2 linked regions of the Macaca mulatta genome follow. The protein of the gene in region 1 interacts with the protein of each later gene in a pairwise test. Links are inferred from orthologs where the notes say so. Each region holds a gene or a part of one and is shown in the gene's direction. Other genes may lie near its edges. The genes, in order: GSTA4 and C13H2orf50.

What was found.
Region 2: the proteins of GSTA4 (region 1) and C13H2orf50 interact in binary tests that used the Homo sapiens proteins (3 or more experiments, as listed by UniProt). The two-hybrid records come from large-scale screens. The link is inferred for Macaca mulatta from reciprocal best matches to the Homo sapiens genes GSTA4 and CIMIP5.

Annotation. Positions count from the first base shown.
Region 1 is NC_133409.1:129,379,039-129,395,442, forward strand, and holds the start of GSTA4 (glutathione S-transferase A4), read left to right. Parts: upstream 1-6,534; 5' UTR 6,535-6,591; intron 6,592-7,545; 5' UTR 7,546-7,563; coding exon 7,564-7,650; intron 7,651-12,959; coding exon 12,960-13,011; intron 13,012-14,796; coding exon 14,797-14,929; intron 14,930-15,793; coding exon 15,794-15,935; intron 15,936-16,404. UniProt on the Homo sapiens protein: Conjugation of reduced glutathione to a wide number of exogenous and endogenous hydrophobic electrophiles. This isozyme has a high catalytic efficiency with 4-hydroxyalkenals such as 4-hydroxynonenal (4-HNE).
Region 2 is NC_133418.1:113,691,428-113,708,002, reverse strand, and holds the start of C13H2orf50 (ciliary microtubule inner protein 5), read left to right. Parts: upstream 1-5,917; 5' UTR 5,918-9,735; coding exon 9,736-9,995; intron 9,996-16,224; coding exon 16,225-16,264; intron 16,265-16,575.

The DNA of each region.
Region 1 (16,404 bases):
TCTATATGGTACATTTGGCTCACTTATGGTTGCCTTAAAGGCAAGAGGGAAGGTCACCATCAGTGAACGCAATGCAGTCTGAACAGTGTATTGACTCATATTCTCCTAGGGCTCAAACTACTTTCTTGGTTCCAGGATAATGACAAGTTGAACCATATGTAAGTAATCTTTTTTTTTTTTTGGTTTTTGAGACGGAGTCTCACTCTGTCGCCCAGGCTGGAGTGCAGTGGCGTGATCTTGGCTCTCTGCAACCTCCACCTCCCAGGTTCAAGCGATTCTCCTGCCTTAGACTCCCAAGTAACTGGGACTACAGGTGCCCGCCACCACGCCCAGCTAGTTTTTGTATTTTTATTAGAGATGGTGTTTCACCATGTTAGCCAGGATGGCCTCGATCCCCTGACCTCGTGATCCACCCTACTCCACCTCCCAAAGTGCTGGGATTACAGGCATGAGCCACTGCATCCAGCCAAGTGATCATTTTTATAGGTTAAAATGATAGGTGAAATGAATCTAGACACTTTCATATGGTTCAACCTAATGACTTGGTAAATTATTGCTTTGGTATATTAATAATATGTTGCATTCATTCTGAACAAATTACCATGGCTTCCAAAGAGCCTTAACCTAAAATCAGAGAGTAATTTACGCTTTGGAGAATCTGACTCAAAAATATACTTGACCAAGCACCGTGGTCCCTAGGGGCATGAGAAAAGCACATAATGGATGTGGATGTGATAGGTGGTCTTTTCCTGTTGACAAGCTGGCAGCAAAGCTTCAGAAAATATATATGCAAGCACAACTTGAAGCTGAATTCATTTCTGTATTATATTCTCAACTCATTATCTAAAGCATCAGAAAATGTGTTTTCAGAGATGAGTCCTTTACTATAAGGTTAATATTTATTTTCATTTTCTGTATTATATATGAAAAGTAAATTAATGTGAAACCTTGCCCAGCTTGCTGGAAAGCAGGTTTTAAATTGTAAATATTCCTTAGAGGAGCAAATGGATTGTTTAATACCATAGTCTCGGTAATCTAGCTTATATAAGGTCATTACATTTTTTAATTGAAAAACCTAGTTACCTGATTATTACACATTATAAAATTGTTTTTCTTCTAATACTTTATAGGGCCCAACTTCAGAAAATACTTTGCTTTCTTCCTTTTACACTTTCCTTTGTTTACCAGCAAACAACTTCCCTGGGGAAGCCAAACATATTTATAAAAAAATCAAGTAGCTGATGTGCAGTTGAGAAAAACTAAAAGACGGAGAAAACAAATTCTAACTAGCAAATGCTGTGAAGTACTCTTCCTCCCCCTCTCTGAAATGGGTAAAGGACCAATTGTGTAAAAAACCTATGCGCTATAGAAGGGAATAGTAACCATTTCTTTTGTCTCTCTGTTTTTGTTCTGACTGAGAATCTGTGCAGCCATTTCTTGTTATATGAAAACAAAATGCTACTTGTGACCTCTATTTTTTGTTACTGTAGAATTATAAAATGTAATGTAAGACACCAACAGAAATGATATACCTGTAACTGTACCTATCAGGACTATACCTCATTTACAGTCAGAAAGCTTACTGGGACGTCAGGAAATGATACAGGGTTGGTTCTCATTTCGTGCTGAAATGAGACAGAAGTTCAGTGACAAAGGTGCGCTGTGGGGGTATCGAGGTCCCCCAGGTAGAGCCAGCAGAGCAGGGAAAACTGCATTTGCATAAAAACTACTCTTAACATGATTGTTCATTTTACAGTAAAATTCCATTAATTACCAAGCCCTCACCCAGCTCATGTATGATAAAATTTATGTTGGAAGAAACTTGATTTTCAAATAATTTTTTAAATTTATCTCTTGCCTAAAGGACTATATACATCTAATATGGTAACACTATGTCATCTTCTGGAGTTATCAAAAATTGTATGCAATCAAGACAACACAAAATAAGAATTATTTTATTTTTAAGTGCACATACAGGTACTGTTGGAGTTGATGGGCACCATGCTTTCTCATGAAGTAGCATTTCCCTACCATCAAGCCATTGTTTTGTGCCATTCAGCAGATGAAAAAAAGGAATTTATGCTGTACATTTCAGTTCAGTGTATGACCAAAAGCAATATGTTTATAAGAAGATGTTTGACATACTAATTATTTTATATCATTTAAACCATACTGTAGCAACATAATATATGTAGCTAATTTTTAGAATTATTTTTACAATTTCCAACCAAATGTACTGTACTGTTATATAATTTATTGTGAGGATCTTCTCATGGAAACCATTAGGAAGACAAACTGGAGGTAAATATCATATTAATCTGTATTATCAATTTCTTACAGACACTGTGCTAATGTGAATTTTAAATGACCTGCATCAAGTCTTCTGATTTCAGATAACTCAGTACAGATAGCAATTAGTCACCTGATTTGATTACAATGGAGTAACTGACAATATATTTATTTATAAAGCAAATATTCATAATAATGAGAAGAATTCAGAGTAACCACTTAAGCAAGACCCTTCTGAAATAAAAATGTTGCTTTTTAAATAGTTTGTCCTAAGGTGTTTAAAAATGTCAACTTTATGTAAGGAAAAATTTCCTGCTCCAAATAAAGTTGAAGTTTAAGAAAAATTGATTTGAGTGTTCTGTTTTTGTTTTCATGTTCTTCCATTCGTGTTTTCTAATTTTTGTCCTTTGTTAGTTCATTTGGAACTTTGATGTTTTATAACTTCTCCTGAATGCTTAGTATCGTGTTACTGCTATGAAATTAGATGCATACACTTTGAGTAGCAGAATGAAGAGTTATCCTGCAATGTGGAGGTTTTTTTAAAATTCAGCTTTTAGAAAGTTAGGCGTCTGGAAGTGGTGGCTCATACCTCTAATCCCAGCACTTTGGGAGGCGGAGGCAGGAGGATCCCTGGAACCTAGGAGTTGGAGACCAGCCTGGGCAACATGGCAAGACCCTCTACCAAAAATCTCTACCAAAATTACAAAATTTAGCCGGTGTGGTGGTGTGCACCTGTGGTCCCAGTTACTTGAGGGGCTGAGGAAGGGGAATCGCTTAAGCCTGGGAGACAGGTTACAGTGAGCCCAGATCACCCCCCTGCACCCCAGCCTGGGCAACAGAGCAAGGCCGTGTCTCAAAAACAAAAACAAACAACAACAACAAAAAAGCAAAAGCAGGTGGAAACAGTTTCTTGTTCCTGATTTCATCATTTTAACCTGCCTTGTATGTCTTTTAGCTTTTCACAGCACATTCTCATATACAATATAAACCTTTAAAAGAAGTTCATAACTTCGTGAACTACAGAAAGAATGTCACAAGAAATGCATTTTCTAAACATTCTTTGACTCCTTGACAGGATTTTCTAGGAACATGATCTACCAATCAAACTTGCATTGGTGAATCCCTAACTGTGCCTCTTGCCATCAGAACACAGTGACTTTACTGTGTAATCATGGGCATTTGTCTTTTTGGCATCACGCTGGGCCCATGGCTGCCCCTTCAGAAACCCTGAAGAAGCCATTTCAAGCTCTCAACCATCTTTCCTGATAAGAAAACCCACTTGTTAGAATAGGGTCTTACACCAATCACTTATAGCTAAGGCTGAATTTAAGTCAAATGTTTCCCTCTTCTGGGAGTATACAAAGCTCTTAAACTGAGATTTGAAGCTCTTGACTTTTGTGCAAGGAGTTTTACCTACTACTGAGCAGATGAGTGAAGGGTTGAGACTAAGAAGATTTCTCAGGGCCTCTGAAAATGTATCAGGTAGGTAGGTGGATAGGTAGGTAGAATAGATAGATAAAATGAGTAAGACTGTCTCAGGATGAGGGCAACTCTAAGGGTCTTCAAGAATAAGCAGGTTGACGATGTCAGGGGCTTCAAAGGAATAAAATGCCTTTGGGGTATCTGTCATAGAATGCAGAACTATTATAACAGGATTTTTCATTTCTCCCCAAGCCTGTGTAATAACAGAGTCATGCTGCTACCTTAGTTACACTTTCAGGTGAACAAGGCTGAGTGTTGCCAGAAAAAGGTGTCCTGATCCAGATCCTAAAAGAGGGTTCTTGGATCTCGCACAGGAAGGAATGTAAGGCGATTCACAGAGTGCCATGAGAAGCAACAGTTTATTGAAAGCTACTCAGTTATAGAGTAGAGCGTCCTCAGAAAGCAAGAGGAGGAATGCCTCCTCTTTGTTTTTTATTCGATAGGGGTCTTATCTATGTAAAAGGTAAGCTAAGCAATGTCTACGTGCAAGTAGGCTAACAGAATGAAAAAAATTAGTACTTTGTTAATTTAAAGAAAGGTATCCTTGGCATTTCCATGCGTAAGTACGTGAAAGCATGACTATAATTACCTTAAAGGCATTTAGCATTATGCAATATTGGAACATCTGGACATTCTACTGTCATAGGAATTTGTCCTTCCAGGTATCATTAAGCTATTTCCTCAGCTATAGACATCTTAAGATGTAGTTGACTTTTTTTTTTTAATTTTACTTTAAGTTCCAGGATACAAGTGCAGAACAAACAGACAAGAAGTGTGTGTGTGTGTGTGTGTGTGTGTGTGTGTGTGTGTGTGTTGGACAGGGCATCATTCTAGACTTTTCTTCCTCCTCCCTTCCCTTTGACCTGATTAGTAAATCCTTTACCACCTACCTCTTTACTATTTCACCTTTTCTTACCCATTTTCTTCAAACGCATGGTGCTACTTTAATTTACACAGACACAACAGGTTTCTTTCTCTACCCCTACTACCCCAATTCATTCGCCTCACTTTGGCCAGAGAAACCTACTGAAAATAAAATCTGATCATGTTAGCTAGCGGCTGCAATTGTTCAGCACCCAGGCTTGTCAAGCAAGGTACTCTCGAGCACCCCTGTGGGTGAAGAAAATAGCATCTATAGCCTGAGAAATAGCAGAAGCTGCCTCTAAAAACAAGATGTATTTTCGAAGGCATGTATTTCAAACTTTGAAATCCATGTGAATTTCGCAATTGTTCCATAATATAGCCCTGATAGTTTTAAAATATTTTCAACGTTTTAACTAACTTGCCAGCCAAATTAGTTTTTTTTTTAGCACCACCCCCAACCCCAAAGACCCCCCCTTCCAAGCAGGTGCTGACTTGAGGCCATGACTATAGAGCACGTGACTCTAAAATGTACAAAATGAAGAAAAATCTCAAGCTGTCCCACTGAGATGAAGAAAGAAAGAAGTTAGTGTCTACTGCTTAAATTAAATAAGGGTTGACGGCTCTTTCGATTTTAATCTGTATGTGGTACTTAGCCTACTTAACACCCGTATGTGGATTTCCTGACGGACTTAACATTCCTGTCAGGAAAGCATTGCGTACTTGCTGTTTAAAACGCATCCAAGGGCCGGGCGCGGTGGCTCACGCCTGTAATCCCAGCACTTTGGGAGGACGAGGCAGGGGAATCACCTGATGTCAGGAGTTCAAGACCACCCTGGTCAACATGGCGAAACCCCGTCTTTACTAAAAAAAACAAAAATTAGCCGGGAATGGTAGCGCGCACCTGTAATCCCAGCTACTTGGGAGGCTGAGTCAGGAGAATCGCTTGAATCCGAGAGGTAGAGGTTTCAGTGAGCCAAGATTACAGCCTAGAGGTGGGCCTGTTGCCTGGAGCTGGGGTCTTTCTTGGAGTGTGCGTATTTTTTTTAAACCCCTTCTGAGGAGTCTGAATGCGTTGGTGGAAGGTGGGCCCAGATGGGCCTGACTGGGCGGCCGCTACGCCCCTGCGTGGGCTGGGCTGGGAAGCCAAGCATGGGAGAGTGCAGTCTCAGATGTGAGACTCCGTCTCAAAAATAAAAATAAAAATAAAAATAAAAAAATTAATTAATTAATTTTTAAAAAGGGTCATGGATCAAAAGAAAGGCAGACTGCCACATGCAGCGCCTCATTTGGATGTGTCTGGAGTCTTGGAAGCTTGACTACCCTACGTTCTCCTACAAATGGACCTTGAGAGCTTGTTTGGAGGTTCTAGCAGGGGAGCGCAGCTACTCGTATACCCTTGACCGAAGACCGGTCCTCCTCTAGCGGGGATGGTCGTCCTCTTCGACCGAGCGCGCAGCTTCGGGAGGGACGCACATGGAGCGGTGAGGGAGGAAGGGGACACCCGCCTAGCCAGCCAGATCAGCCGAATCAACCCTGGCGATCAATGGGGTGACAGATGTCGCAGCCAGATCGCCCTCACATCCGAGACTTCGTTGCGGCGCACAAGCTATATAAACCTGAAGGAAGTTCCAACTTTACACTTAGGTCAAGTTATTTATCGTATTAGAGCTTCAGCAGGTAATTTTAACTAAAATCAAATTTAACCAGCATAGCAAATATCATTTATTCCCCAAATGCTAAAGTTTGAGAGAAACGTACTTGATTTCGGGCTGTTTTGACACTATCCAGAATGCCTTGCAGATGGGTGGGGCATGCTAAATACTGCAGTCTCTATTGGTGAGGTCGTTCCGGAGCCTCGCCCAGCTCCCGCGCGCTAGAGCCGCCTGCTGGTCTCGCCTAGCCGCGGACTGCTGGCCTTGCGCTTTGTGCGGCTCCAGGTCTCCGAGCGGACTCCAGGTCTGTCTCCCTCCTGCGGTCACCCCCTTCCCCGCCCTTTCTCTCTTCTTTTTTTCCGAGTCTCACTCTCACATTCTTCCTTCATCCCCCCAATTCAGTCCTTCTTTTTTCTCCCTCTTGTCCTTTGCCCTCCATCTCCAGTCTGGGCAGAGGTGGGCCTGTTGGCTGGAGCTGGGGTCCTTTTTGGAGTGTGCGTATTTTTTTTTAACCCCTTCTGCGGAGTCTGAATGCATTGGTGGAAGGTGGGCCTGGATGGTCCCCAGGGCCTGGTGGGGCGGCCGCTACGCCCCTGCGTGGGCTGAGCGGGGAAGCTGAGCATGGGAGAGTGCAGTCTCAGATGGCCAAACCCTGGCCCCGGCTCATTTTACAAGGCCGGGGGCTCATCTCCCAGTAGGGGTGGGGGACACGTGGGACCCGGGGGGCAGCCCCCGCATGCGTGACGATGGATGCACATTTTGCAGACAATAGTAGTACTCGGCCTGTTCACCTTCCAGTTGCCGTGATAATAAAATATGATGTATGTAAAAGCATGAATACTTGAAGAGGTTCCTGTGGCTGTGCAATTTTCCTTCGCGACCCTCTTCAACGCTTGCCACCCCCTATCCCCAAGCTGAATCTGGAAAATCTGAGATTCTCAAGGTCAAAATATATAATGTTCTGAATTTGTGAAATCCCGTACTGCTAGCACATATGTTTTTACAACAAATGGCCCCAGCTTCCCAAGATCCAGGATAAGAAGTCATAAATAGAAATCATATAAAAGCCAAGGTTTTTTTTTGTCCATGTTTTAAAATGGTGGTATGTTTTTTCTTGAGTGAGGGAAAATGCAAAAACAAAAATAAAGAACAGTTTCCCGTGCCAACATCCTGAATATTCATTTCGCCCCGAGCACTGGGTTGAAGACGCGAAATTGGGACTATTGGTGTGCGAGGAGCTGCTGCATTTGTTTTTCAGAAAGCCTGAAAAGCTATCATGGCAGCAAGGCCCAAGCTCCACTATCCCAACGGAAGAGGCCGGATGGAGTCCGTGAGATGGGTTTTAGCCGCCGCCGGAGTCGAGGTACCTTATGTGCTGTTTCTTCACAGATTTGTTATACAGTTTTTTGAGACCTTTGAAAGAAAAATAGGTTTTGAAGCACCATTCAGGTCTCGTTCTCGTCCACCAAAATCACAGGCATGCTTCACTGAATCAGATTCCATTCCTGAAGGGACTTTTCTTTATCATTAGAATGTAGTTGGTGGAATTCTATTTTCCTTTTGACTGTTACTTAATTATTGGCTTCTGATCTAGCACCAATGAATATTTATTAATAAGAAGAAAGGAAATGTACCTGGAAATTGTCAGTTACTCTGAGCTCTTATTATGCATTCTTAGGGTAAATTTCGTGTTTTCTTCAGTGGCTTCAAACTGGCAGCCTTGGTATCTTGCTTGCATATTGATTTTATACTTTAGATTATAGTCCAATGACCTAAATTGCCTAAATTGTTTCAGCTTTGGCCACGGTGCTCTTTCAGGTTTACCTTTTTTTATTTCACATTGGCCTCTTTTTTGTTCTCAGCACTTTTTGACACTATAAAATGCTCTGTGCTCATCTTGTATTAATATTTTCCCTGCCCTAGCCCTAGAATCAGGAATTTCTTAGATAGAAAAATGGTATTAACAGGCTGGCACGGTGGCTCACACCTATAATCCCAGCACTTTGGGAGTTCGAGGTGGGCAGATCATGAGGTCAGGAGTTCGAGACCAGCCTGACCAACATGGTGAAACCCCGTGTCTCCCCAAAATACAAAAACTAGCCAGGTGTGGTGGCGCGCGCCTGTCCTCCCAGCTACTCAGGAGGCTGAAGCGGGAGAATCGGTTGAACTGGGAGGCGGAGGTTGCAGTGAACCAAGATCACGCCACTGCACTGCAGCCTGGACTGCAGAACCAGACTCCGTCACAAATAAAAAAGAAAAAAAAAGAAAAGAAAAGGTATTAACGTCAAGATCTGGGTGCTAGATGTCTACGTTTGTTTCTAGTGCCATTTGTTTGTGGAAGAAACTGCCCTGTAAAATTTTCCCTATTCTGGATTTGGTTTACTTACCCTCCAGGTGTTGCCTTGAGGTAACATAGTAAAGTAAGGCTACCCTTATTTGAACATGCTCCTCTATTTTCTGTACTTCCCATAAATTACTAGCTGGACCCAGAGGCATGATCACTTCAGGCTCCTTTTTTCTTTCTCTTTATTTTATTTTTTTTCCTGCCAGACTATGTCAGAGGAGATACTGTGAACACACTTCTCTTGTACCATGTCAGGGGCTGTCTGGTGTCTGGTTGTCTCGTTTTCAGTGATGCCGAGCTTCTTCGGTGTGTTCCTGTGATGTCAACCCCAATCCACACATTATAGTTTCTCCCAGTTTCTTTTCAACTTGTGGTTTTAGCAGCTATTGATCATCATCCCTGTTAGGGTTTACAAAATGGCAATTCTTTTCATTTCTATCATTTCACCTAAGTTTATGAACTGTGATTCTCTTCTAAGACAGTACTCGTCACTCATTAACTTTAAAATGTGTAAAAATGTTATGTTTAAATCATAAACTTTAAAACTCAGTTACTTTAAAATGTGCTTCATATAGGAAAGGCAAGGTAAATGCTTGATTATAAATTTTCACAATAATGTGTTGTTACCCTAGCAACCTCCAAAGATGGCAAATGTGAGTTGTTGGGTTATGGGTTTCGTGTTTGTTTTTTGTTTTTATTTTTTGCATATGATAACTTGCCACATGGTGTTTTACAATTTTCTAAATGAGTTGACATTATGTTCATATGCAAATTCTGATTTCTGACTTGTCTTTAGAAATTGGAAGATGTGGTGATCCTGAGTCCTTATTTTCACAGGGCAGCAATTGTTGGATCTGAATAAGGACTGCCCCACCTCGCCCTCTTGTCTCAGGGTGTATTTGCTAACTATTAAGAGGAAAGTGAAAAACATTCAAGGTCCCAGGACCTGAACCTGCCCGACTTCACTCGTGTCTGTCATATGTCTAACCCCCATAGGCTTCTGAGTTTGTAATTCTTGGTTCATTTCATAGGTTTTGAATGGATATAACCCTTTGTCAAATCTTCTCTCTTTCTTCATTCTACCCTGCCCCTCCTACTCACCTATGAGTCAACATTTTTGGTTACAGTAATAAAAACCCAACCTTAAATAAGTTAAACAAAAAAAGAACATGAGTTATCTGACCCACCTACCCCAGTCCAATCTGTGACAGGAACAGGCTGATCTGGTAGAGTAATGAGCCCACTCCTCAGACCAGAGTGGAGGAAGCTGCATTGGTCTCTTTCCCAGGGCAACCACATGGTTTACAGGGTGGTGGAGAGGGGGCCCCTCCCCATCTCTTCGCCAGTTAAGTTTGTGCTCACATAGATCTGAGACAGTCAGGAGGGACCAGCTGGCAGCCACCAGACAAGTCCATGATTCTCAATATCCCATGATTGAGTTGAACCTAAAGTTGAAGCACACACATCTGGGTAACTAGGTCACTAAAACCTACTGAAAAACAGCCTGTTCTAATTCAGGGAGTCCTCAATGTTGGTCAGTCACTTAATTTGAGTCATCATTGACATTGCTGTAAGTTGGTTGTTTCTTCCATGCTTGGAACTTTATTTGCCTGAAGACCCCTTAAAACCCAGGCAAATCCCCATTGAGATGTGGGAGATGTACACCATTTCTACCATTAACTAGGAGCATCAGTTGAGCACCTTGTCCCTGCATATATCCTATAAACTTTCTGAGCCAAATGTGGTGGCTTGAGCCTATAATCTCAGCTTCTTGGGAGGCTGAGGGTGGCAGGATCCCTTGAGCCCAGGAGTTTGAGGCTGCAGTGACCTGTGATTGAGCCACTGCACTCCAGCCTGGGTGACAGACCTCTAAGAAAAAAATAAATAAATAACCCTTTCTGTTAACTAATATGATGTTTTAACTTTTGATTTTAGTGTGTCGTAGTACAAATATCCAGGGACAAATTCCTCAACTGAATCTATCTGAGAGACATTGTCAATTGATCCAGGAGTACTGCCTGCACCACATCTGACCATCTAGGCTTCGAGCATTGTTGCCCCAAGGATACTGTTCATGAGCATTAAATGAAGGTCCTCTGGGAGCACTGAGTCTCCTTTCCTCACACCATGAGCACCCACCCTGGCAAGCAGCAGAAGCCAAGCCTCCACCCTATGATCCTGATTCTCCCCCACCCCTCCAGGTTGAATGTTTTTCAACTAAATTCACCAATTCTTAACATTTTACTAATTTGCTTTCTCCTTTCCTTTTTTTTTCTGAATTGTTTCAAAGTAGTTGCAGACATCAGCATGTGTCTTCCTCCCAGGGTTACAGGAAAGCGGTCCTGATCCAGACCCCAAGCGAGGGTTCTTGGATCTCGCACAAGAAAGAATTTCGAGCGAGTCTGCAGTGCAAAGCAAAAGCAAGTTTATTAGGAAAGTAAAGGAATAAAAGAATGGCTACTCCATAGAGCAGCCCCAAGGGCTGCTGGTTTCCCATTTTGATAGTTATTTCTTGATAATATGCTAAACAATGGGGTGATTTATTCATGCCTCCCCCCTTTCTAGATCATATAGGGTAACTTCCTGACATTGCCATGGCCTTTGTAAACTGCCATGGTGCTGGTGGGAGTGTGGCAATGAGGACGACCAGAGGTCACGTTCATCACTATCTTGGTTTTGGTGGGATTTAGCTGGCTTTTTTAATGCAACCTGTTTTATCAGCAAGGTCTTTATGACCTGTATCTTGTGCTGACCTCCTGTCTCATCCAGTGGCTTACAATGCCTTAACCGTCTGGGAATGCAGCCCCCAGTAGGCCTCAGCCTCATTTTACCCGGCTCCTATTCAAGATGAAGTTGCTCTGGTTCACACGCCTCTGACACCAAGGCAAAATAAATAATTGTCCTAATAACCACAATACCATTGTCACCACCAAGAAAATTAACGCTGCCTTCACAACATCTAATATGCAATCCATATTCAGATTTTCCCTATTTTCCCCCAAATGTCTAACTGTTACACATCTGTTTAGCAGTTATAACAGTTTCCTCTCCTCCGAGATCTACTTCCAATTTGGTTGTTAAGTATCTTTAGTTGATTTTCATCAACAGGACCTGACTTTTTTTCCATGCCCTCGACTCTTGAGAAGTCCAGGCCATTATGTTTGTAAGGTCCCACATCCTGAATATACCTGTTTTTCACCTTTCGCGTAGATTCAGGGTAAATATTTTTGGTACTGTTTTAGCAGGTGTGACTGTGCCTTTCTCACTGTGTTACAACAGAAGGCTTAGGATGTCAGAGTGTTCTCCACTGGGGAGCCAAGTTTGATTGTTTGGTTAGACCGAGGGTGAGAGATCTCCCGATCTCTCCATTGTAAATTGATACTTTCCCTTTATCATAATTAAGTAACTTAATTAAGTCTTCTGTAAAAAAGAGCTTTTTCTTCTCCTTACCTTTTTTTTTTAGCATCATCATTTATGGACATAGATATTTTGTTGTATGTTATAATCCATAATTGACATCATTCTTTTTGATGCTTAAATTTTCCCAAATTTGGTAGGGAATTCCCCTCACAGGGCCCTCCATGCCTTTCTGTTTCACCTTTGAGCACTTCCTTGCTTCGGCATAACAAAATCAACCTTCTTTTATAGGAGCCCTAGTTCCTTTTAGGGGGCAGTGATATTTAGAAACCAAGATGTGGATGCTAAGTCTGCTCTTTCTCTCTGCTTCTTAAGACTGTTTAACTTGGTATTTTTAGTCCTGAGTCTCTATGATGTTTACCTCCTTTTGGAGGGTGAGGATATCTTTTTAAAAAATTGATACACAATGTACATATTTGGGGGATACATTTGATATTTTGATACATGCATATCATGTGTAGTGATCAAATCAGGGTAATTAGGATGTCCATTACCCACCTCAAACATTTATCTTTCCTTTATGGTGGAACATTCCAATTCTTCTAGCCATTTTGAACTGTGTAATACATTATTGTTAACTATAGCCTACCATACTATTGAACACTAGATCTTATTTCTTCTGTCTAGCTGTATTTATGTATCATTAACCAACCTCTTTTCACATCCTCTTCCTCTCTACACTTCCCAGCCTCTAGTAAGCACCAATAACTTTCTATTTCCATGAGATCCACCTTTTTAGCTCCCACATATGAATCAGAACATTCAGTCTTTGTCTTCCTGTGTCTGGCTTATTTCACTTAACGTAATGACCTCTGTTTCTGTCCGTGTTGCTGAAAATGACAGGATTTTGCTTTTTAATGGCTGAATAATATTCCACTATGTATGTATACATTTCTTTTTTTAAAATTTAGTTTGATGAAGAATTTCTGGAAACAAAAGAACAGTTACACAAGTTGCAGGATGGTGAGTATGAAAATGAAACAACTGCCTCTAATACTGATTTTCCTTTAAGAACTGCTGTTTATGTGGAAGGGCAAAAATATTCAATGACACTGAACATTCAGAACAGTATCCTAAAACCAAAAAAAGCAAGAGGGAATAAATAGTTGAAATTGCCAGGAAATCACTTCTTATTCAATAGTTCCATAAAAGCTGGCTGAAGGGGGTGAGTAGTTCCTTCCCCACCCAAGTGAACAGCTCTCCTCCATCCCTTTCTTCTCCCCTCTCTCCCCTCTAATCTCCTCCTCCCCCTTTCTTTCTCTCCCTTGCCCTTTCCCTCCTTCTCATCTTTCCCTACTTCCTTCATACTATCTGAGGCATCCTGGCCTGTTTGAAGTATGCAAATAAATACCCGCAATGGGGATACTTTCTGAAGTGAATACCACACAGAAGCGAAATCGACGAACTGCCCCTCCCTTCACCTTTAATTCCTGGTCAGCCCTGCTCCCTCCTTGCCCATCCATTATAGCAGGAGCCACCAGTAGACCCATAAAGAGTGCACCCATCAACCTGTGAGCAGCCTCCCTCCCAGCCAACAGCAGGGTCCTCAGGCCCAGCTGGAGGCTCCCTTGTATGGTACCAGCACTCCAGGGCTGTAAGGCCACCTTTTGTGTGCGACGGTGGCTGGAAGCCACTAGGCATGTGCTAAGTACTCCTTTCCCCTCTACCCTCACCCGTTCAGAATGCCCAAACCCTCAAGGGCCAAGCTGTACCCTATACAGGCATCTCTCCCCAGGGTTTGGTATGTGGAAAGTGTTGGATTCAGATTTGTTAAAGAAAACAATGGGTAGTTTTTTTAACTAGTGACAGCGAACTTGGTAGTAAACAATCTGTTCTGTGGCTACAGAGTAGCCACAGAGTATACATGAGCCAAAGAGTATACATGAGTCTCAGCTAGTTACTTAGGTTTCATGATCAGATTCTCTAAAAACAGTGCTGTCCAGCAGAACATTCTACAGTGAAGGAAACATTGTATTCTGCACTGTCCAATATGGTAGCCACTAGGCACGTGTGACTGTTGAGTACATGAAATATGTCTAGTGCAACTGAGGAACTGAATTTTAAGTTTTAAAAATTGTAATTAATTTAAATTTAGATTTATATAGCTGCATGTAGCTTTGACTGCTGTATTGGCCTGTGTAGCACTGAAGAAATATCTTCACTACATTCCCCTTAATCCCTTATCACTGTGGATAGGTATTTTTCCTGGGGTGAAAATGAAAAGGGAACGTTTATAACAATGCTAGTTTTCAGGCTTTTTTTTTTTTTTTTTTTTTTTCCCCGAGACAGAGTCTTGATCTTTCGCCCAGGCTGGAGTACAATGGCATGATCTCGGCTCATTGCAACCTCCGCCTCCTGGGTTCAAGCAATTCTCCTGCCTCAACCTCCCAAATAGCTGGGATAACAGGCATCAGCTACCACACCCGGCTAATTTTTTTATTTTTAATAGAGGCGGGGTTTCATGATATTGGCCAGGCTGGTCTCGAACTCCTGACCTCATGATCCACCTGCCTCGGCCTCCCAAAGTGCTGGGATTACAGGCTTGAGCCACCGTGCCTGACCCCTTCAGGTTTCTTTTGTGGCTAAATCTGCTCTCCTGAATGAAGTTAAAGTTATCTGTCATCTGGAAGCTTTACACTATTTCCTAAGGCCATGATTCCACATTTCTTTTCATTCAACAGAGCATTTTTTAGGGGTTGGGGGACAGAGAAGAAGAGATCACTTCTAACTCTGGGCTTCCATTCTCAGGTAACCACCTGCTGTTTCAACAAGTGCCTATGGTTGAAATTGACGGGATGAAGTTGGTACAGACCCGAAGCATTCTCCACTACATAGCAGACAAGCACAATCTCTTTGGCAAGGACCTCAAGGAGAGAACCCTGTACTGTGGCCCCTCTCAAGTGTTGTCACTTGTCAGCTTACTGATGCCTTAGCTGATTAGCAGTCCTCTGCAGCACACCACATTTACTTTATGTCTTACATAGTTATGAGATCAGGGAGCAAAAATCCAAGAAGGTCACGAAGACCAGTTGGAACTTCAGTAGAGAGAGTCTGAGTAAAACAAAAGAAAATAATTGGATTCAGATGTTGAATACTATATCTAGGGTGTCATCGTTTCAGATTTCAACATTTTTAAATGCTTTGATACTGCTTTTTACCTTTCTTACACATTCACTGTTGTTAAGTATTAGGAATGAGGAGCTGCTGTGATGTTCAAGGCCTGGGAGAGTGACCATTAGAGACCATTAGATTATAATTTGAATTCAAAGCCTGGTCCTTGCACCCCTTAGATGTATGACCCTGGGCAACGTGGGTATAAGAATAGTACATTTCTCATAGTGTCATGTGATTTAATGAGATAATGAATGGAGAGTGTTTAGCACCATGCCTGGTACACTCTAAGCACTCAATAAATGGTATTCACTATTTTCATGAAGATGAAGTTTGACCCATACTAAGAGACCAAAACACAGATGCTGGGGTGAAGGTGGAGGAGTAGGATGCCAGGAAGAAAGCACTCGTGACTCTCAAGCTGTCTGATCTGTGACAGATTTTTGTGAGTTACAACTAGAATTGACCTTATCTCTTTGCTCTTAAGAGACAGGTATAGGTAAATGCTGCTAGGGACTTAAGTTGCCAGCATCTTAAAAAAAAAAAAAAAAAAAAAGCACTCTGAATTCTTAGTTGTGGAAACCAATGACTTCAAAGAAAGGAGAAACTGAGACAACTGCTCTTTTGTTTTAAGGATTGACATGTATGTGGAGGGGACGCTGGATCTGCTGGAACTGCTTATCATGCATCCTTTCTTAAAACCAGATGATCAACAAAAGGAAGTGGTTAACATGGCCCAGAAGGCTATAATTAGATACTTTCCTGTGTTTGAAAAGGTAGGTGGCAGAGATGCCTGTGTACACAGAGTAACCAAACCACAAAGAAGCTGCCACAAACACCCTTTTCTGTCCAAGCATTTTAAAACTGAGCCCAGTTGGACTAACCTAAGAGCTAATAGTAGCCACAGCACAAAGCTGGTGTCTTAGAGCCCCTCAGACTCTGCTAGGACCACATGATTCAGGAGTCTAGAAAAAGTATGGGCTCCCTGCCTGTGTCCCTTATTGTTCCTTGCATTCACCAAGTTCCCACCTTGTGTGGATACAGCAGAAACTTCAGAAGATACAGAAAACAGAAACTGCCTCATTCATTCATTCAACAAACAGTTGTTGAACAGCTATCTCATAGCTGACATCCTCCCTGATAATTTGATATGAGGAGAAGAACATTTCCATTTTATTTGTCTTCCCTTTGCTCTTTTTGTTTTTGGTTTTGTTGTTTTTCTCTTCTTGTTATATCTGCTTTTCT
Region 2 (16,575 bases), on another chromosome or scaffold:
GATGGCCTTTCTGCCTGGCCCTCTCCTGGCTACTGCAGCCTCACCGGAGGGCCAGGCCCAGGCCAGGGCAGCTCCAAAGGTGGGCTCTGGACCGGGGTCTCCCCTGAGCCAGGCAGGGGCTCCCCACGGGAGACAGTGCCAACCATACAGGCTGCGGGTGCAAATTGAGCCTGGGGAAGGAGAGGCTGATCCCGGTGATCAGAGGGGGTGGCACCAGCCTCAGCCATGCAGGTGTGAATTCCTTCCCCCAGCCTGAGACCAGTGCCACACCCCCGCCCTCTCTCCCCAGGCTCCCCCATGGATTACCCTGCCTGACACCCCATGCTGGCAACCAGAGGCTGATTCTGCCTGACTGCCCCCAGCTCCTGGAGTGTGCAGCCTGGGTTCCAGAGGGAGGCCATACGGCCCCGTCAGAGACCACCAGGGAAGTATCACAGACCGCAGCCAGCGTGTGAGCTCAGCTGGGAGTTTGCACCAAGCCTGGCTCCAGAATGAGGCCTGACTGACGCAGGCTAGGTCCACCCTGCATGGGCCGGCTGGTGTGGGTAAGTCCTGGGGCTCAGAGAGGGGCTTGGAAGGCCAAATGCAAGGCGGCTGGACCCATTATCGCAGCACATAGCGTCCCCTTGACTTGCTGGGAGAAGCTCGCGCCCTCATAGTTAGCAATTCCATGGCCACTGGAGGCCAGAGTGGGAGCTGGGAGGCTCTGGACACCATAGCCTTGGGCCCCGGCCCTTGCCGGGCTGGTGTTGGCCTGTAAATGCTGCTTCCGCTGTTCAAGCGCTGATGCTCCTCCACGCTCACAGGTCAACAGCTGCTGCCCACCTCCAAGACCCCCGAATGCTGCACGGCAGGTGGCCTCCCGCATCCCTTCTGGGCCCTCCCTGTGGGTTAAGAATGTCACCCCTGCCAGGGCACCTGCCTCCCCAGGCCCACAGCTGGGCTCCTTTCACAGACACCGTATCTGGACAATCCATTTGTTCTGTGTCTGATCAGAAATGGCCATAGCGAACCAGCGTGCGTCTGACCTGAGACACCCGGCTTCTGGGCACCTGGGGATGGTGGAGCCAGGGGAGATGCCGCGGGTCGGAGGGAGGATACAAAGCTCCAGGGTGCCCCCTGCTGCCTCTGGGGCGTTCTGCAGTCATGGCCAACATGGACTTGGACACAACCTGCTCCGATCTTCAGAAATATTATCCACAAGACCTGCTTTCTCCCAAAACGCATTCGGCTGCCCACCCATGGGAGGCTACAGAATAAAGAACATAAAGACATGCTCCAGAATACGTTCCGAATGCTTAAAATTTCCCCAACTCCCATGAATCTAGAGTCTTTGAAATATAGATCATTGAGTATCTTTTTGATAACTGAAGTAAAACTGTTTATGTGAGATGCTTTTTCTCTGTAAATAACAACTCAAGAAGAGACCAGGAACTATAGTCAGAAGGGATTCTGGTCCTGGGGGTCCATTTCTTGCCTGTGTGGTCTAGGTGGGTCGTGGTCTTCCAGTTTCTGCCCCTAAATCCATATGTGATCAGCTCCACCTCATGAGGCTGTCACAATATTTCACAAGGGAAATGCACGAAAGCACACTTTTAAAGCAGTGTACCAGTTGCTGTTTTTAATGTCATTATCCATCAGGGAATTTTTAACTTATCTCCCAGAGGCTTGACTGGATTGAAAATGTAAGGTCTATTTAATGAAAATTATCAAGGAAGTTCCTGGGGAAAAAAAACTTAGGCGTAGTCAAGTATTAGTCAAGCCCCAGCTCTGCAGTTCAAATAAAGCACAGAATTTAGAAGTCGTATGCGTGAATTCCATGCCAGGCCTGCCACTTATTGCCTGTGTCCCTGCACAAGACACTCAGCCTACCTTTGTTTTCTCATCCATAAAATGGAGCTAATACTGTTCACCGAATGAGATGAGGTGAGGACTGGAAATAATGCCTGATGTACAGTGGGGGCTGAATACAAGGTTGGTTCTTTTTTTTTTTTTTTTTTTTTTTTGAGATGGAGTCTCACTCTGTCACTCAGCCTGGAGTGCACTGGCGTGATCTCAGCTCACTTCAACCTCCACCTCCCGGTTTCAAGTGATTCTCCTGCCTCAGCCTCCCAAGTAGCTGGGATCACAGGCTTGTGCCACCATGCCTGGCTAACTTTTGTATTTTTAGTAGAGCTGTGTTTTTGCCATGTTGGCCAGGCTGGTCTGGAACTCCTGATCTCAGGTGATCTACTTGCCTCGGCCTCCCAAAGGGCTGGAATTACAGGCGTGACCCACCACGCCTGGCCATACAAGGTCGGTTTCATCCCTGAGTAGATCCCAGAAGGAATTCAAATCTGTATCATCTGTCATTGGTTGAATTGTGCTTCTTGAAATTTGCATTGAAGTCCTAATCCCCAGACCCCAGAAGGTGACCTTATTTGGAACCAGGGTCACTGTCCATGTGAGGAGTTCAGATGAGGTCATACTGGAGTAGGGTGGGCTGAGATCCAGTATGAATGTGACCTCACAAAAAAGGAGAAATTGAAACAGAGACACACGAAGAAACAACACCATGTGAAGATGAAGGTAGAGATTAGGGTGATGCTTCTACACACCAAGGAACTTGAAGATTGCCAGGAAGGCCCCAAAAGCAAGGTAAGGGGCCTGGCACAGGTTCTCCCTCACTGCCTCAGAAGGAATGAACCCCACCAACCCCTCTTCTCAGACCTCTAACCTCCAGCACTGTGAGATGCTACATTTCCCTTGTTTAGCCACCCAGTTCGTGTCATTGCGTTAGGGCAGCTGTGGCAAACTAATACATAATCCGAGAAAGACTGTCACACATTTACTATCTTTACTGCTGAATAATCCTTACCAATGGGCCCAGGCCGGGCATAGTGGCTGACGCCTATAACCCCAGTACTTTTGGTGGCCGAGGAGGGTGGATCACTTGAGCCCAGGAGTTTGAGACCAGCCTGGGTAACATAGTGAGACCCCATTACCACAGTAGAATAAATAAAATTAGCTGGGTGTGATGGCACACACCTGTGGTCCCAGTTACTCAGGGCACTGAGGTGGGAAAATCACAGGACACGGGAGGCTATAGTCAGTCGTGATGGCACCACTCCACTCCAGCCTGGACAACAGAGGGAGAGCCTGTCTCAAAAAAAAAAAAAAAAAAAAAAAGCCCAGGAAGGTGGGGTCGGAGCCTAGACAGACTAGAACCCAGTTCTCTGGATTCTTAATTCTGTGCTCTTTCCACTACCCCTGACAGTCATGTCTTAGGCGTTAACATGATTGACCAGGTGCAGTGGCTCACACCTATAATTCTAGCACTCTGGGAAGCCAAGGCAGGCAGATTGCTTGAGCCCAAGAGTTTGAGACTAGCCTGGGCAACACGGTGAGACCCTGTCTCTACAAGAAAATGCGAAAACTACCCAGGCATGGTGACGCATGCCTGTAGTCCCAGCTACTCGGGAGGCTGAGGTGGGAGGATTGCCGAGCCCAGGAGTTGGAGGCTACAGGGAGCCATGTTCACACCACTGCATTCCGGCCTACTCCCTAAAGATATGCAGTAGACACAGGAGGAAGCATGTCTGTTCAGATTTTTTCCATGCATTCAACTCATGATAACAACACCAGAATCAGACCACATATACCACTTTGCAACACGTTTTGTTATTGTTTTATCATGTTTGTTTTGCTTGACATTATATAGACGACATCTTTACAAGTAATAAGTATAGTAAAGACACACAAGTAACATAACCCATCACCTTTTGATGAATTTTTTTTTTTTTTTTTTGAGATGGAGTCTTGCTGTTGCCCAGGCTAGAGTGCAGTGGCGTGATCTCAGCTCACTGTAACCTCCGCCTCCAGGGTTCAAGCAATTCTCCTGCCTCAGCCTCCCGAGTAGCTGGGACTACAGGCATGCACCACTACGCTCGGCTAATTTTCTGTACTTTTAGTAGAGATGGGGTTTCACCATGTTGGCCAGGCTGGTCTCGAACTCCTGACCTCAGATAATCCACCCGCCTCAGCTTCCCAAAGTACTGGGATCACAGGCATGAGCCACTGCACCTGGCCCTTGATGGACATTTAGATTGTTTCCCCCTTTTTTTTTTTTTTTTACTAACACAAATAATACAGCAGAAAATAGTCTCAAGTAACTTTGCACATTTGTATCTTTTTTGTGTGTGTGTAGAATAAATGCCTAAACATGCCAAATCTGTTTGTGATGGTTTTAAATAACCTCTGCAAATTATTTGATCCTTCTCCCATTAAAAGTGGAGTTTAATTCTCCTCCCTTTGAATATGGGCCAGTATTTGTACTTGTTTCTAATAAACAGAACGTGGTAGAAGTGGCACAGGGTGGCTTCTGTGGTTAGGATAGAAAAGGTGACACAGCTTCCACCTGGCTCCCTCTTTGTCAGTTCCTCATCCTTGAAACACAGCCACTTCACATTGGAGAGAAGCCCAAGCCACACGGAGGGGCCCCAGCTGGCCGCCAGACCCACCTGAGGTCACAGCCGACAGCTGGCATCAACCTCCAGCCTTGACAGTGAATGAACCTTCGGATGGCCCAGTCCCGTCTCATTATTTTATACCGACATGATTTACCCTCAAAAGAAAAATGAAAGAAATACAAATTATAGCAATGTCATCTTTAGCAAGGACTGCTTGCAAGGTTGGCCCTTGGTTGGTATCTGGGAAATTGACTTGGGGAGTGTTCCCACCCTTCCCGGATAAGAACAGCTCACTGCCCCTAAACCGTGTAAACACTGTGGTTTATGTCTTCGTACTGGGAGTCCAGAATTTCGGTACATGCTAGGCAGAGGGTGCCTTTGTGACTAGCCTGCAGTAAAATCCTCGGTGCCAAATCTCTAGTGAGTGTCCCTGACAGATGACATTCCACATGTGTTGTCCCAACACACTGCTGGGGGAAGTGAGTGCGTCCAGCGTGTGACAGGGTCTTGGACCCTCACACTCCCTTTCCTCTGGACTTGACCCACGTGCCTTTTTCCTTTGCTGATTTTGCTTCATGTCCTGTTGTCGTAATACATCATAGCCTTGAGTATCACTGTATGCTGAGTCCTGCGAGTTTTCCTAGCCAATCGTCAAACCCAGGGTGGTCTCAGAGACCCCAACACGCCATGGCAACAAGACTACACGGAAGCCGGCGCTTCCTGTATGTGTACACATTGCTGGTGGTACCTGCATGGACACCATGAGAGCAACACAGCCTGTCTGTTGAAAGCCACTCAACGTCCACTTCCTCTGACTCAGTAATCCCATCGGGGAATGTGTCCTGTGGCAACAATTCCACAGCAGGAAGCAGAGGCTTGAAGACCCTTATCACAGCTGGTGCTAAACCTGAACAAAATCTAAATGTCCAAGAAGAGAAAAATTTAGTTAAACACATTATGGTGCATCAACTCTAAGAAACTGGCTACAATGAGATGTGTAAAGCTTATAAAGCACCTGTGGTCCCAGCTACTTGGGAGGCTGAGATGGATCCCCTGAGCCCAGGGAGATGGAGGCTGCAATGAGCTATGACCATGTCTGGGTGACAAAGTTAAGACCCTGTCTCAAAAAAGAAAAAAAAATTGTAAAGAGAAACATGAAAAGATGTTGCTGATACATTAAAAACAATTTTTTTGGCCAGGCATGATGACTCACGCCTGTAATCCCAGCACTTTGGGAGGCCAAGTTGGGCAGATCACTTGAGTCAAGAGTTCAAGACAAGCCTGGCCAACATGGCGAAACCCCGTCTCTACTAAAAATGCAAAAATTAGTCGAACATGGTGGCGCACGTCTATAATCCCAGCTACTCAGGAGGCTGAGACGGGAGAATCACTTGATCCCAGGAGGTGGAGGTTGTAGTGAACAGAGATCGTGTCCCACTGCACTCCAGCCTGGGTGATAGAACGAGACTCTGCCTCTAAATAAATAAATAAATAAACAAACAAACAAACAAACAATTTTAAGCTGAGTACAAAATGGTGGGCACATTGACAGCAACTGTAGAACCAACAGTTAGACCCAAAGCGGCTACTTATAAGTGAAAACGGTTGGGGCTACAAGAGGAAGGCCGGAGCAGATTTTTCCATAGATAAATTGGGCCTTCCTTTAATGTTGCTGTTCTGATGAACCGGGAGCTTTCTGGGGACTTGGCGGGAGCAGCTGACAAGGCAAGAATTGTGGCGCTGGATGCTTCCTCTGCGGTCACCGCCTGGTATGACGCCTCCAAGGTGTGTGCGCGCGGGAAGGAGAGAGAGGGTAGTAAAGCCAACTTTTCATCCAAAAAGCAGAGGCTTCGGGGACAAAAGGGACAGAAAATATCCCCTGCAAATTAAAAAATGCAGACACGCATTTCCCCTGCCTTCACCTCCCACGGATCCGCCCCTTCAGCTCTCTCCCGCGGGCTCCCAAGCTCCGGGGCCCCTGGGCTCTGCGCCCGCGGAGCTGGACGGAGCTCGGGACCCTCCCTCGCTCCCCGACCCGGGAAGGGGCGGGGCCGACAGGAAGTAGGCGGGGCTGGTTCGCAGGGCGGAGCCTCGTCGCGCTCTGTGAATCGCAGGTGTCCTTGCTCCCGGGCTGGTGGGGCCACCCTGTGGCTGCCTGGGCTGGAACGTTCTCCTCGCCCAGCTGAAGGCCCTGAACTTGCTAAGCCTTTTAGGGTTGAGGAAAACCCATTCAAAGACAACTCCAGCAACCTCCCAAAGGCAGGGATTCTTGTGCTCCCCTGGTAAGTCTCATGTAAAGTTAGACCACAAAATGTGGGCTGTGCCCTGAGCCCTCGCTCAAGGGCACAGAGCAAGTCACTGGCAGAGCAGGGACTGGAACCCGGTGTCCTGATCCCCAGGTGAGGCCAGCCTTAGAGCTGCGGGAGGGGCAGGGCGGCGTGGGTCCTCCCAGGCTGGGGCTCACTGAGGCGCACCCAGAGTGAATTTGGATGTTTTTCCAGGGATAAGGACATGTGAAAAGAGACTGGCAGTGACTGACCTGGACTGGCAGGTGAGGTGTTTTTTTCCCCTCAACATTTTATTTTGAAGTTTTTCAGACACCCAGCATATGCCCACCCATATGCCCACCACCTAGATTCTACAGTTACGTTGTATTGTATTTGTTTTGTCACCCATCAGTCCAGCCCTCTATCAACTCTCGGTCTGAAATGGTTTTTAAATTATATTTTAATTTTTAAGAACCAATCTCCAGCCGGGCGCCATGGCTCACACCTGTGATCCCAGCGCTTTGGGAAGCCAAGGTGGGTGGATCACCTGAGGTCAGGAGTTCGAGACCAGCCTGGCCAACATGGTGAAACCCTGTCTCTACTAGAAATACGAAAGAAATTAGCTGGGTGTGGCAGTGCACACCTGTTTTCCCAGCTACTCGGGAAGCTGAGGCAGGAGAATCGCTTGAACCTGGGAGGCAGAGATTGCAGTGAGCCAAGATCACACCACTGCACTCCAGCCCCGGTAACAGAGTGAGACTCCGTCTAAAAAAAAAACTCAGTGGAGATATTTAGCCTCTACATACATCAGGAACTCGATCAGTCGTGATGGTTTGTCGCAGATGCCCTTGCTGGCCTTTTTTGTCCTGGTCCCTGTGTCTAGAGCCTGTGGCCAGGGCTGGAGGTATCTGAGCAAACTGCATGGCTGTTCCCAGCTGCTCGGGGCTACAGCCTGCAGTCAGCCTGACAAAGCCTCCCAGGACACATTGTCCTCTCTAAAGACACTCACGGGGTGTCTTTAGAACCCAGCTGCTGGGGGTTCAGGGAAGTCAGAGCCGCTGCTCCTTGGGCATGGCAGGAACCTGTCGTCGCGGTGCAGGGAGCACAGACACCTCCATGGGAGCAGCACACAGCGGCCCACCCTGCCACGCTCCTGCTGCGCTCATCTTTACCAGGAAAATTTAAGTCACTAGATGCCAGCCTGTGTCATCCCAGCTCTGAGGGGAGGGACAGAGGACAGACAGAGTCCCAGGCTTGCAGCTCTGATTCTAGACTAATGTTTTCCCAAAAGGTCACACCCCTCAGCTCCATCCTCACGCAAGTGTGGGAAGACAAAGCTGGCAGCTCTTTCTGGCCTGGCTCTCAGCCCTGTCTTCTCCACGCCAGCCCTCCACCTGAGCCCGGTAGGGGCTTCATTGCCATTGCTTACCCACACCATGGCAATGGCGACCTCACCTGTTTCTTACCCCTTTCCTGATGGTTCTGTTCCCTGCAGTTCCGTTGGGGCTCACAGCCCATCAGTATCTCCCCACTGGGTACAGGATACAGTGGAAAACACCCCGGGGCCTGCCCCCATGTGCCCTGCCACCCCCGTCCTTGTCTCCTCCCCTACATCTCCCAAAATGCCAGGCTCTCTCTTGCATCCAAGCTTTTGTGGTCACCCCAGTTTTTCTACCTGGCAAGTCCTTTCACCTGTGAAGTCCCAACTCCTTGCTGCCTCCCTCACAGAAGCAGAATCCAGCAGGGGCACACAGGACTGGCCACAGTGCCCTGTGGTTCACTGGCTGCCCTGCTGCCCTGCACCCCAGGCACTCTGCACAGGCCTCTATTCATCAGGGTTTTGTCTGCACTTAGCTCTTCCTGTACAACGATAGGAAGCAGCGGCCCAGCTGAATGGACCCACAGAGAAGCTGCGTAGAAGGAACTGTGAATCTGCCAGCACCTACCGGAACGGCACGAAACCCAGAGAACCGGAAGCAGAGAGTGCAGGAGGCAGAAGTGATGAGAGCAGCGGGCATCCCTGGAGCTCAGCTGAGCCAGACCAGGAGAGGCTGCCACGGAGGGAGCCTGGCTGCACCCAGTTAGAACAGAAACAGGGCTGAGGGCTCGGACCGTGAGCCCTCAGGTTCTCCCTGTTCCCTTCAGCTGGTGACTGTGTGACCGTGGGCGGTCACTTAATCTTGCCGGTAAGGGCCTCAGTTTCCTCATCTGTAGAATGGCGTTGGAAAGGCATGGCTGGGAGGTCTCAGACATAAAGCAGAGTGCTGTGTGAACGCTCCGGGTTTACAGACAGAGCGGATGTTCCTAGTGCATTGCACTCATTTTCCCTCGCCCGACAGAAGCTCATGACCTCCGCCATTGTTCCCAAACAAGCAGGAAGCTTCACACTGATGCCTGATCCACAATTCCCAGAGCGCCCTCAGGGCCACCATCTCGTGCAAGCCTCGCAGCATCCACGAGGGGGCAGCACAGGACTATCATCGCCCCACGGCCTGAAGGCGGCTGCCGGAAGCCAAGTGCGACAGTGGTGGGGGTGGCCCCCAGGAGCCCCGGCTTCGCTCCCTCCTCCTCCCCTACCCTGCTCGGAGGACTCCGGCCTCGGGGTAGGGGGCTGCTGAACTGGGCGTGGCATCTACTCAAGAACTCTCTGCCCCCCAGCCCTAGGGCTCAGATCACAAACACACACACACACACACACACACACACACACCCGCACACACCCGCACGCACACACGGGCCCGCCTCTTTCCTGGGAGCTGCCCGTTCCCAGGACAACAGTCAACACAGGCGGGAGTTCAAAACAAAACTGGGCTCAAATGCTCTCCCCATCGGCCACTCTGAGCTCGAGGCCTAAAGCGACAGTGAGGAGGACCCTGCCCAGGCTGTCCCGGGGTTAGGAGGGAGAGAGTGTTCCAGGAGGAGGTTTGAGCTGAGCTCAGGCACAGGAGTCTCTCTCTGTCTCTCTCTCTCTCTCTCTCTCACACACACACACACACACACACACACACACACACGCACCCATGGGGAGCCACCCTACCCCTGGGCTCCAGAGAACCACATCACCTGGGCACCGATTGTCCCCCACCAGGCCGCCAACGTCTGTCTCCCCAGCTGCCCGGATTGGCCCTATGGCCAGCAGGGGTCTTGCTGGTGGCTGTCAGGCCCCCCAGGCTCTGAAGGCGCAGCGGGTGGCCCAGGGAGCTGCCTGCGGTGGCGGCGTGCAGCAGGACCAGCTGTGGCGGGAGCTCCTGGAGGCCGAGCGTCGGGGCCAGCGGCGCTGGTGAGTCCCTGCCCTCCCTTCTCCACCCTGACCCCCGCAACCTGACTACAAGTTGGGGAAACTTTTGGAGAAAGGGAGATGGCTGGGCAGCTGATCCGGGCTGAGGGACAGAGAGCATGGCATGCCCGGGGGGAGGCGGGTCACCGGCCCAGCCCAGAGCCAGACCCGAGCCTGAGCCTAGGAAGCCAGGAAGATGGAGGCCAGGATCAGATGCGGCTGGGTCCGAGCAGCCCCGCCTCCCTGGAGCCGGAGCCTGCTGGCCTAGTCTGGGTGAGAGGCGCTGGCCATCTGACCTGACTCTGGGAAAGATGCTCCTTCATGCCTTCATTCAACCAAAAATCCCCATGAGCCGCTCTGAAAGGAGACCAGATACAACAAGGGACTGACCTGGCCATGGCTCCACGGAGCCTTCATACTCCGGACAGGGCAGCCAAAAAGCAAGCAGAAAAGCAAACAAGTACAAATCTGTAAGAAATGTGACCAGCGGTAAGAAGGAAACAACAGTTCAGGGTTAGGGGGAGAGCCGGCTGAAGGCCTCTCTGAGGAGACTTTTAAGCTGAGACATGAAACAGGAGAAGGAGCCAAGAGTTTGACGTATCTAAAAAAACAAAACAAAGAATTCGTGTAGCTGAGGCACAGGGAGTGAGGAAGGCCACAGGATAAGGGGGAGCAGCCGGGGGGGCCACCCCAGCCCTCGTAAAAGTCTGGATGCATTTTTTCCAAAGGAGACACCATCCAGGATTTTAAGCAAGTACATGGCATGATCTTTAAGCAAGAACACAGCATTTTTAAATGAGCAGCCTGATAGATTCTAGGAAGCGCTCATCTTGCACCGCTGAAACTTCATACCCGTGGATTAGCAACGCCCCATTCCCCCTCCTCCCAGCCTCTGGCACCCACCATTCTAGTCTTTACTCCCAGTAGTCTATTTTCAGTGCCTCATAGAAGTGGAATTGTGCAATATTTGACTTTCCATGTCCGTCTTGTTAGCTTAGCATCCTGTCCTCCGGGTTCATCCATCTTGTCGCGTATTACAGAATTTCCTCCCATTCTAAGGCTGAATGTATATATGTGCAGTTTCTTTATTCATTCGTCAATGGACTTTACGTTGCTTCCACATTTGACTGTTATATGTATTGCTACAATGGACATGGGAGTGGTTTCAATTCTTTTGGATGAATTCTCAAAAATGGATGTCTTAGTCCATTTTGCATTGCTGTCAAGGAACACCTGAGGCTGGGTAATTTATAAATAAGTTTATTTGGCTCACCGTTCTGCAGGCCGTACAAGCATAGTCTTGGAATCCACGTGGCTTCTGGTGAGGGTCTCGGGAAGCTTACAATAATGGCAGAAGGTGAAGGAGGAGCAGGCGTGTTGCATGGTAAGAGAGGGACCCAGAGAGAGAGGGGGAGGTTTCAGGCTCTTTTTAACAACCAGCTCTCTCCTGTGAACTAATAGCGCAAGAGCTCATTCATTACCGCAAGGAAGGCACCAAGCCGGTCACGACCCAAACACCTCCCACTGGGCCCTACCTTCAACACTCGGGATCACATTTCAATATAAGATTTGGAGAGCACAAACACTCAAACCATATTGGAGGGATTGCAGGATTATATGCTACCTCTATTTTTAATTTTTTGAGGAACCTCCATTGTCTTTTCCATAGCAGTGGCACCATTTTGCATTCCCATCAGCAGTATCTCAGCATTCCAGTCTCTCCACACAATGGCCAACACTCATTGATTGTCTTTTGGTTTTTGATAACAACCATCCTAATAGGTGTGAGGTGGTATCTCATTGTGATTTTTTGTTTTGTTTCGTTTTGAGATGAAGTGTCCCTCTGTCGCCCAGGCTGGAGTACGGTGGCGTGATCTCGGCTCACTCCAACCTCTGCCTCCCAGGTTCAAGCAATTCTCCTGCCTCAGCCTCCCAAGTAGCTAGGATGACAGATGCCCTCCACTACTCCTGGCTAATTTTTGTATTTTTATTAGAGACAGGTTTTTACCATGTTGGCCAGGCTGGTCTTTTTTTTTTTTTTTTTTTTTTTGAGACGGAGTCTTGCTCTGTCACCCATGCTGGAGTGCAGTGGTGCGATCTCAGCTCACTGCAAGCTCCGGCCAGGCTGGTCTTGAACTCCTGACAGCAGATGATCCACACGCCTCAGCCTCCCAAAGTGTTGGGACTACAGGTATGAGCCACCGTGTTTGACCTCTGTGGTTTTGATTTGCATTTCTCTGATGATGAGTGACATTGATAATCTTTTCATATATTTATTGGCCATTTATTTATCTTCTTTGGAGAAATGTCTATTCAAGTCTTTAACCCATTTTTTCAATTGGGTTATTTGGTTTTGTGCTACTAAGTTGTAGAAGTTCCTTATACATTTTGGAAATTAACTCCTTATCAGAAATATGATCTGTAAATGTTGTCTCCCATTCTGTGCGTTGCCTTTTCACTTTGTTGCTTGTTTCCTTTGCTCTTCAGAAGTTTTTGAGTTTGATGTAATCCCATCTGTCTATCTGCTTTTGTTTCCTGTCCTTTGTGTGGCATATCCATGGAATAATTGCCAAGCCCAATGTTATGAAGCGTCCTTCTATGTTTTTGAGTGGATTGGTATGTATCATGTTAGAAAGGATCCAATTTCATTCTTTTGCATATGAAAAACTTCTGCACAGCAAAGGCAACAATTAACAGTGAAAGGCAACAATTAACAGAGTGAAAAGGCAACCTACAGAATGACAGAAAATATTTATAAACTAAGTAAATGTGGGAGGAAAGGTGAGGAAGGAATAAAGGATGACAGGTCTCAGCTTGAATGATTAATAGGGAGGAGAAGATAAATGATGAAGATGCTGAGTTCTGGTGAGTTTTAAATGCCCGAACCACGTCTAGATAGAGCTGCCAGGAGGTAGTTGAGTGTGAGAGTGAGGAGTTGTGAATTAAAAACCCATCCAGAAGGGGAGAATGAGGACTGACTGCGAATGGACACAAGGTGTTTTGTGGGTGATGAAATGTTCTGGAATCAGAAAGTGGTGATGGTTGCCCAACTCCATGAATATATTAAAGTCATTGAATTGTGTGCTTTAAAAAGTGAATCTTATGGAATGCAAATTCTATCTCAGTTTTAGCAGGAAACGAGTGGGCATTGGCCCCAGCGATGTGAATAAGCTCTCCCCGGAAGAGCACAATGGATCAGAAGAGGTGAGGATGCAGGACAGAACTTGCAACGTTTACTAGAAAGGCAGAGATGCTGCCAGGAAACACCAGAGAAGAAAGCCAGGGGCATAAGGAGGTGTAAAGACCAAGGGGAAAGAGTTTTGCAAGGTTTGGATAGCCCAAAGAGGAATGTGTAAGGCAGTGCTGCCTGACAGAAATACAATGTGAGCCAGACACATAGCTTAAATGTTCTAGTGCTGCTTTAAAAAATGAAACAAGAGGTCGGGAACAATGGCTCACACCTGCAATCCCAGCACTTTGGGAAGCTGAGGCAGGCAGATCACCTGAAATCAGGAGTTCGAGACCAGCCTCGCCAACATGGTGAAATCCCATCTCTACTAAAAAATACAAAAACTAGTCAGGCATGATGGCATGCACCTGTAATTCCAGCTACTCAGGAGGCCGAGGCAGGCAGAGTTGCTTGAACCCGGGAGGCAGAGGGTGCAGTCAGCTAAGACTGTGCCACTGCACTCCAGCCTGGGCGACAGAGTGAGACTCCATCTCAAAGAAACCAAAAAACAGAAAGAACTTGTAGCAATAAAAATATATAAAGTTGAAATATAAGACACAACTGAAGTCAGACTTCATAAACTCAAGACAGGAGAAATTATTCAGAAAATCAAGACAGAAAACACAAATGACGAATTAAAAATGTAGAGAAACTGAACAAGAAGCTCCAACCTATCCTTAATCAAAACTCCCAAAGGAGAGAATGGGAGAGAGAAAATGTCTAAAGAGAAAGTAAGTGAGAATTTTCCAGAACCAAAGAAATGCAGGAGTCCACAGATACTAGAGTAGGTGCTCCACAGAAACAGGTGCATTAACAAGAAAATAAGACATGGAATTCCCAAAGAGGGGGATGCCAGCGTGTTGGTGAAGGAAGGGACCAGCCTGTGATCTTGAGGCACGGCCAGGCCAGTGGGAGCAGGAGGACACGGGGCTTCCGAGGAGGCTAAGAAAGGTTTTAAAGGAATGTTTATTATCTGATGCACATGACAGTGTAGAAAATAATATTGAGAGGGACTTTTCAGTTTTATTGGAACATCTGGAATCAATGATCAGTACATAGAAGCCTAAAAAAAATTGGGAGGAAATGTAATTTCTCTGTTAGCTCTAGAAAGAATACAAGGTTATACAAGAACAGAATTGGGGTATATTGCACTCCTTAGTTCATCAGGGAATAACATTTACATAACCATAAGAATCAAAATGACATATATCAATTTAACCAAGATCTGTAATGATTTTGAAAGAACAAAGGGAAGGGCAGGAGTAAGAATGCTAACTCTTCATCTCCTATAATAGGAAGTCCATAGATAAGTTTAAATTTTAGAAAATATTAAGGAACAGCAGTGGATATAGTTTGGATCTGTGTCCCCACCCAAATCACATGCTGAATTGTAATCCCCACTGTTGGAGGTGGGGCCCGGCGGAAGGCGACTGGATCATGGGGTCGGTTTCTCATAAATGGTCTATACCATCCCCATGGTGCTGTCCTCACAGTAGGGAGTTCTCACCAGATTTGGTTCTTTTAAAGTGTGTGGCACTTCCCTTCTCTCTCTCTTGCTCCTGCTCTGGCCATGTGACCTGCCTGCTGCCACTTTGCCTTCCACCATGATTGTAAGTTTCCTAAGACGGACCCAGAAGCTAAGCAGATGCCAGCATCCTGCTTCCTGTACAGCCTGTGGAACTGTGAGCCGATTACACCTTCTTTATTTTTATTTATTTATTTTTTTCAGATGGAGTCTCACTCTGTCGCCCAGGTTGGAGTGCAGTGGCTCGATCTCTGCTTACTGCAACCTCCACCTCCCGGGCTCAAGCAATTCTCCTGCCTCAGCCTCCCTAGTAGCTGGGATACGGGAGCCCACCACCATGCCTGGCTAGTTTTGTATTTTTGGTAGAGACAGGGTTTCACCATGTTGGCCAGGCTGGTCTTGAACTCCTGACCTCAGGTGATCCACCCACCTCGGGCTCCCAAAGTGCTGGGATTACAGGAGTGAGCCACCGCGCCTAGCCTACACCTTCTTTATAAATTACCCAGTCTCAGGTATTCTTTATAGCAAGGCAAGAATGACATAATACAGCAGTAGAATCCTATTATTTCAAAATACGGACGCAAAGGCCTGAAGAAACAGCTAAAAGGCTGGCAAAGGTTTGACGCTAAGATGTGAGGCTCAGGGGCTGTGAGGAGGGGGACAGAGAAGGCTGTTTTTATTATGTTTTGTAGAATTGTTTGACTTTTTAAAATTAGATTCAAGTAAAACTAAATGACCTGTGCAAGGTAATACTATCCTTATGGTCCCTCCCTTTTCCTACCCCTCCCTAGCCTTCCTCTGTCACTCACATTGGAAGGTTACAAAGGTTTGGGGACGTGAAAACTTTTTTCTTCAGAGAATGCTTGCCTACTGTAGCCTTCTGAAAATGCACAGAGGCAGGGTGAGATTGTAGCCTTTGCTTGCTTAGGCAGTCCTACCATAGCAACGTCATAGTTGTCATTCTAGGAAAAGTCATTGGAAATTGAAATGTTTGTTCTTTTGGTGGGATACACCATCAATACCTGCTTGGCACTTGGCATTTGTTTCACTTAAAAATTATTTTGTTCTGGCTGGGCATGGTGGCTCATGCCTGTAATCCCAGCACTTTGGGAAGCCGAGGTGGGTGAACCACCTGAGGTCAGGAATTCAAGACCAGCCTACAAATATGGTGAAACCCCATCTCCACTAACAATACAAAAATTAGCTGGGTGTGGTGGCACGCATCTGTAGTCCCAGCTACTTGGGAGGCTGAGACAGGAGAATTGCTTGAACCTGGGAGGCAGAGGTTGCAACGTGAGCTGAGATTGCACCACTGCATTTCAGCCTAGGTAACAGAGCGAGGCTCCTTCTCAAAAAAAAAAAAAAAAATCTTTAGTTCTTCCATGTGATACATTGTTGCATTGACTTGACACAGTGAAAGTCATTGGTAAAAATGTCCTAGAAGGAACTCACACAGTCAACATGCTTTTCCTTTCCAGGGTTCAGAACTGGAGTTTCCTGAAAGACTATGACTCAATGGTAAGGAAAAATATGTTCCTGCCAAACATACTTGCGATTGAATATTATTCATTCTTTCCATCATTCAACTGACATTTATTGAAGATCTACTCTGGACTAGATGCTGGATGTGCAGAGATGAGTAAAATACACTCTTGTTTCAAGGAATTGCATTCCTTGAGTCCATTGGAAAGAAAAGTTATATGAAGCATTTAGAAATTTGTTTCCTTCAGTGTTTCTTAGTTTTATTAAGATGAACCAATTAGAGGCCTGGCGCGGTGGCTCAAGCCTGTAATCCCAGCACTTTGGGAGGCCGAGATGGGCGGATCACG